Linked DNA regions of Tribolium castaneum. The protein of the gene in region 2 interacts with the protein of the main gene of each other region in a pairwise test. Links are inferred from orthologs where the notes say so. Each region holds a gene or a part of one and is shown on either strand. Other genes may lie near its edges.

Region 1 (2,798 bases), on a different chromosome or scaffold from region 2:
TCCATTTCTACCGGCACTGTGATGAATAAACGATACGTACTACTCAAAAAAAGGAAACTAAGAACAAGAAATGCATGACATTTATTTATTTACGTGTTTTTTTTTAAATATTATATTTTTTTAATTGTTTTATCAAAGTGTTCGATGTTACTACAGCATCACCTAGTTGTAGAAGTACCTGTATCTGAAAGATTTGAACACTTTTCTAGTTAGTGTAAAATGAAAAAGCACCAAAAAAATATTGTAGCGTTTTTAGATTATGACTCATATAATGTACTTAATTTTCTCGTCCGTCCAATAAATTGTATAATGTGTAGATTAGACTTTTATCGTATTGTAAAATATTTTTCTTGTTTGACAAATTTTTATTATTTTATAGAATTAAAAATATAAATGAACAAATACTAGTTTTAGCGTAAATATCATGTATTATTGCAATATTGTTTTATTTTTTTGTGATTGTGTAAAATAAATTGTTTTTTTGATTTAAAAAAACGCAGTTTTGTTACGTTTTAATGACTTTATTTTGCTTTTACATCATTTAAGGCGCTACTTGGTGAATCTCAAAATATACAACAATTCACGCTTTCAAATACAATTAATATAAAAAATAACAGAACCTACGCATTGAATCAAGAAAAATGCTCGGATTACAATTTTTTTTTGCAAATATTTGTGTTAAAAGTACATGAAAAAATTAAAGAAAACGAAACAATCTACTTGTTCTCCACTACCAACTGTCTGAGCTTTTCATAGTTGGCGCCGCTGAACTGCGTGATCGTTTGACTATTCTTCACGAAAACAAAAGTAGGCATTGACGAAATATTATATTCCATCGCGATATCTTCGCATTCGTCCACATCCACCTAAAACAAAACACGTTGACAAAACAAACGTCAAATAGATACACACACACAGCCGCCTACCTTGAAAATGTGCACGTTTTGGAATTCCTGAGCCAACTCTTCCAATTTCGGCGAAATCATTTTACATGGCCCGCACCAAGTAGCGAAGAAGTCGATGACGACAAGTTGGTCGCCGGCATCGGTGAGCTTCGACACAAGGTCGGCCTGTGAAACAAACACTCTGTATATTAAATTTTTTGTTCCGGCTAATCGAAGGTCACGATCTGTCAAAAATCTATTGCGTTTCCGGAAAATGTGCCACGCCCACATGGGCCTTACCTTATCGTTGATGTGGGTGACCATGGTAAGGTTACGATGGGCCTCCGCTGTTTGATGGGTCTTTTTCCGCCGAAATGGGCAACAGAAAGGAATGATTTGAAGATGGACGACAACACTCGTACAAATGACTTGACACAATGCCACTTTGTTATTTAAATGCGCATGCGTCACCTAAACTTTGCTACGATTGGTGGGTCCAAGGTCAAGGGTTGAGTGATACAGGTCGGACCATGTGAGCGATTTTATCAAAATTGTAAAAGAAGACCTTTTGTTGGACAGTTTCCACGCCTGGAAAAGTCCGGGGTGTCTTCCTGGCGCCACTTTTGCCGTGTTTTTCGCAATTCGGCGCAATTGTCACACCTGACCCAAGGCTTGGTCTTAGTCATGTCGTGACCAAAATTAAATTTTTACGTCAGTGTTCAATTCAATCATCAATTTTGAGAATTTGGTGAATAAATCACGAAAATAATTCGGTTAGAGTGATTTTTTATTTTTATGAAATCAATAAAAGCGGAATTTTATCAAGCAACCTTCGAATAAAGGCACACGTGACTTATTATCGGTCACGTGGTATTGTAATTATTACGAAAAAAAGTGAGAATTTCATTATTTACATTACTCATTATTTACTCAGCGGATTTGAGTTGAGATCAGACGCGCTTATCTCTTATCTATGTAGTGAAATAATTGTATTTTAATCTATGTTTAAGTATTTTACGATTTTTGCAATAAACACTTGTCCTTGGTGAAACTAAATCACAACAGGACTAAAGTTTTTTAGAAATCGTAATAAATTGTTTGCAATGGCCAAAAACTTGCTAATGTATATGCAATCATTTAGATTATTATTGAAAAAACTCCACTGATATGAGTAATGCATAACAATTTAATCTAGAACTGTTTGAAAAGCGCTTGAGTTAGTCGAGAAATCGTTTAAATTTGGGAAAGTATATGTAACCAACAATACACAAATTGTCACTGACGTCGTCCCCCACGTCACTCAGCTTCGGCGCCGTCATCCACGTTCATTTATCGATCGATGCGCACCGTTTTTGAAAAATGGCCGGTGCCGCCGATCTCGACAATCTCGAATATTACATCAAATTTCCCAGTCCAAATTTTAACTACAGCCAACCGAATGGCACCGGAGAAAGTGACTACGTTTTTGTCGTCAATGAAGAAAAAATCCCCGTTATCCTACTTTTCGGTTGGGCCGGATGTCAGGATAAGTATTTGGCCAAATATTCGCAAATTTACGAAGACCGAGGGTGAGAATAATTTTTTGATTTTTACAAAATTTCAATTTCCATTTTTTTTAACAGTTTGATAACTTTGAGATACACCGCTCCGGTGAAATGCCTCTTTTGGAAGCGACTGCAGATGATCACGATTGGAGAACGACTCGTTAAGCTTTTGGTTGATTTAAATTTTGAGAATCACCCGATTATTGTGCATTGTTTCTCAAATGGGGGCGCTTTTCTGTATCAGAATTTCACGCTGGCGCTTGAAAAGAGCCCCAAACCGATTCAGGTAAAACTTTCCATGTATAATGATTATTCATGAGATACAAAAATAAGCCTTGAAATGCTGTTAACTTTGCCATAAAATGTTTGT
Region 2 (4,076 bases):
GAAAAAGAATCAAAATCAGTTCTAACTAACTAAGCTGAGACAAGACAAGACTAGAACTGGACAAAAGAAACACTAATAATTTGAAACATTACACTACATTATACTAAGAGATTGAAAAAATTTTAAAACTGAAATACAAAAAAAAAAACAGTGAGATTAAAAATTTTGTAGTCATAAGCTAAAACACTATAGACACTATCAAGAAATTGAAAAACTGAAAAAAAAAATTGGAAAATTAAGCTGAAATACTGAGAAACCTAAAAACTGTGTGATTGAAAGAATGGAAGCCTTAAAAGCAAAAAATCTTCTGATGAAAAACCAAAAAACTATTAAATTGAAAAATCAAATCTAGTGTTTTTAAACTAATTACTAATGAAAAAATTTAAAAAATATATTAAAAAAAACTTCAGTATGTTTAAGACACATTTAGGATACAAGTCAATTTAGGAATCTAGGAAAAATAAAAAGGGCGTTAAATATTTACATTTTTAACGAAACAAATTTAATCCGAGTTTTTTCAGTGCCGGTCTTTAGTTATAACCGGACTGTAAAGGTAAAATGAAAAAAATTAAAAAAAAAAAACTTAAAATCTGGGAACTGGGTTATTTGAAAATTTTTGCAAACTATACAAAAAAAATCTGAGTATAAAAGTCAAATAAAAATAAAAATACAGTGAGTCCGGTGATAACGAACTCTTCAAAAACGAAAATAAATCAAAGTCAGTTCTAACTAACTAAATAAGCTGAGAAACTGACAAGACTAGAACTGGACAAAAGAAACACTAATAATTTGAAACATTGCACTACATTATACTAAGAGATTGAAAAAATTTAAAAACTGAAATACAAAAAATCCAAAAAAAACAGTGAGATTAAAAATTTTGTAGGGTCATAAGTTAAAACATTATAGAAATGCAAAGTAAGAACATTAAGAAATTGAAAAACAGAAAAAAAAATAGAAAAATTGAGCTGAAATACTGAGAAACCTAAAAACTGTGTGATCGAAAGAATGGAAGCCTTAAAAGCAAAAAATCTTCTGATGAAAAACCAAAAAACTATTAAATTGAAAAATCAAATCTAGTGATTTAAACTAATTACTAATGAAAAAATTTTAAAAATATATTAAAAAAAACTTCAGTATGTTTAAGACACATTTAGGATACAAGTCACTTTAGGAATGTAGGAAAAATAAAAAGGGCGTTAAATATTTACATTTTTAACGAAACAAATTTAATCCGAGTTTTTTAAGTGCCGGTCTTTAGTTATAACCGGACTGTAAAGGTAAAATGAAAAAAATTAAAAAAAAAACTTAAAATCTGGGAACTGGGTTATTTGAAAATTTTTGCAAACTATACAAAAAAATCTGAGTATAAAAGTCAATTAAAAATAAAAATACAGTGAGTCCGGTTATAACGAACTCATCAAAAACGAAAATAAAGTCAGTTCTAACTAACTAAATAAGCTGAGAAACTGAGAAGACTAGAACTGGACAAAAGAAACACTAATAATTTGAAACATTGCACTACATTATACTAAGAGATTGAAAAAATTTAAAAACTGAAATACAAAAAATCCAAAAAAACAATGAGATTAAAAATTTTGTAGAGTCATAAGTTAAAACATTATAGAAATGCAAAGTAAGAACATTAAGAAATTGAAAAACAGAAAAAAAATAGAAAAATTAAGCTGAAATACTGAGAAACCTAAAAACTGTGATTGAAAGACTGGAAGCCTTAAAAACAAAAAATCTTCTGATGAAAAACCAAAAAACTATTAAATTGAAAATTCAAATCTATGTTTTTAAACTAATTACTAACGAAAAAATTGAAAAAATATATTAAAAAAAGCTTCAGTATGTTTAAGACACATTTGGGATACAAGTCACTTTAGGAATCTAGGAAAAATAAAAAGGGCGTTAAATATTTACAATTTTAACGAAAGAAATTTAATCCGAGTTTTTTAAGTGCCGGTCTCTAGTTATCACCGGACTGTAAATGTAAAATGAAAAAAATTCTTAAAAAAATCTGGGAACTGGGTTATTTGAAAATTTTTGCAAATCTAGGTCTGTCACTTGTTGGTTGAAATTATTTAGTTAGTGAATAAAGTGTAAATTTTTGAAAAAATATTTGAGCAGTTGGTTAGAAAAAAAATTTAAATATAAAAATTAACTGAAAATAACTGCATACAGTGAGTTCATTTTCTAGAAGAAATGAAAACCGAACTAATTTCCAACTTCAACTTTAGAACAATATTTATATTCAATACAGAATTTAAAATTTTTGTAACTTTATTGCAATAAAAATAATGTTTTTATTTTTCCTGCAGTCGGAATTAATAAAAAACGTACCCCAAATTACCCCACTTTCTCGCCACTTCCGAAAAATCCGCTGTCTAGTAATCAAATCTGTATATTTTTTGACCTTGGTGTCGGTAAGATTAGTTGTTGTTGATCAAAGTGTGAATTTTGGCGGGAATTGAAATTTTCGAAAATAGTAAATTTCGGACTCACCAGTTTCGTGTTGCTGTTGAATGAAGGCATCGCTGGTGTTACATCACTTTCGTTCCGAGACGTAGTGCGTCGTCGTCAGTCAAGAGACAGGACTTGAAGGACCTCTGCGAGCGCGTTGCAAGTAGCCAAGGCAGCCACCAATCGACTGAGGTACGACCGTAGCCTTTACGATCCAAAAAAACTCCCGGCGGGGAATGTCTAAGTGAAGCAGCAGCGCTGCCACAGCGAAGCCGAGGCTCGCTCTCCGACAGGTGAGTGCACCTGCAGATGCAGCGACGCCGACGACGACGGAAGGGACCACCACCTGGTGCGCCGCCTGCTTGCCCAGGGGAGGAAACGAGGGAGCAACAAGTGGCGGCGGCGCGCACCATGTGCACGACTTATTACATTTTTCCACTTTTCTGTCACCAACTCTCATATTTGTAGATAAATGTTTGCAAGTGTGAATTGTATTATGTATTTATTATTCGATTGTTTTGAATACATGTATTTGGAAACAGTTCATTTTTGTGGTTTTATTTCATCACATTTTTACTCCAAATACGAGAGATTCCTGAATCATAATCCAGTTCTGATTCTGAAACTGGCTCCGAGTGTGTTAGTAAATTTTACTGCTAATCAGAAAAATAATTCTAACAGGGAAAAAACAAATTAATTTTTATTATATCGTACTAAATACATTTCAATTTGATGCTTTAGTTTCTTTTTAAATTTTTACGCTGCAAGACAAAAAACTAATTAGAAAAAATAATTTCCAAACTAACTGCTATCTAAAAAACACTGCTTTCGTCTTTGCTAAGATCGTGAAATTAAAGATAATTTTGAGCTAGATCTTTTATTTTAGGTGTTATTATCAAAAATTGGAACTAAATAAATAACGTATTGATCTGATAGCAATTTACTTTTAAGTCTGGAGATTTTCCTCTCTATATGGACCAGAAATTTATTATTCAAATAGCAAATTTTACATTACATCAAGAAAGCAAACTCAAACAAATCACAAAGTGGAGAAATCCTTGACGTAGACTGAACAAAAACTTTTTTATACCGTCTGTTCAATAAATACTAAAACTGAAAGATATAGAAAAATCAGAAAAAATCATTAGGAAATCAAAAAAAAATTGCGGAAATTTGGTGTACTAGATTCGGGGTGCGAATGCATTAGCTGATGTTTTTTTTTCAGTGTTAAACTGTGTTAAAAATTATTGAAGGAATATTATGGAAGGAGACATTAAAATAGGCAATTTTTTGCGAAAAAGACACAAAAAATATCTAATTATTTATAACTAGACAGTAATACTTTTTATTTCTTAGGCAGATTTAGTCTCCGGGCCTCCATGAATATGCGGTATTTGCTCATCAATGAGAAAAAAAAAAGATTTGTCTGATAAACAATTTTTTCAATTATTCAGCATTAATTTGTGTTTTACCAATTATATGTCAAGTAAATTTAGAAAATTCCATTCTAAATATAGGTTCTCCTAAAAAATGTAAAATAATCAAATCTTCCGCTCAAGGATTTATCAAAACTGATGAAATGTTTATGAATTTGTTACAAAATTTGAATG

The links. The genes of interacting proteins can lie anywhere in the genome.
Region 1: the proteins of follistatin (region 2) and Trx2 interact in binary tests that used the Homo sapiens proteins (3 or more experiments, as listed by UniProt). The link is inferred for Tribolium castaneum from reciprocal best matches to the Homo sapiens genes FST and TXN.

Annotation. Positions count from the first base shown.
Region 1 is NC_087401.1:17,531,617-17,534,414, forward strand, and holds Trx2 (thioredoxin-2), read right to left. Parts: upstream 1,347-2,798; 5' UTR 1,209-1,346; coding exon 1,185-1,208; intron 1,071-1,184; coding exon 927-1,070; intron 867-926; coding exon 717-866; 3' UTR 501-716; downstream 1-500. Other genes in the region: myelin regulatory factor, read left to right, coding at 1-29; transmembrane protein 53, read left to right, coding at 2,244-2,452, 2,507-2,714. UniProt on the Homo sapiens protein: Participates in various redox reactions through the reversible oxidation of its active center dithiol to a disulfide and catalyzes dithiol-disulfide exchange reactions.
Region 2 is NC_087396.1:21,200,822-21,204,897, reverse strand, and holds the start of follistatin, read right to left. Parts: upstream 2,801-4,076; 5' UTR 2,509-2,800; intron 1-2,508. UniProt on the Homo sapiens protein: Multifunctional regulatory protein whose primary function is to antagonize members of the transforming growth factor beta (TGF-beta) superfamily including activin, myostatin, GDF11 or bone morphogenetic proteins (BMPs).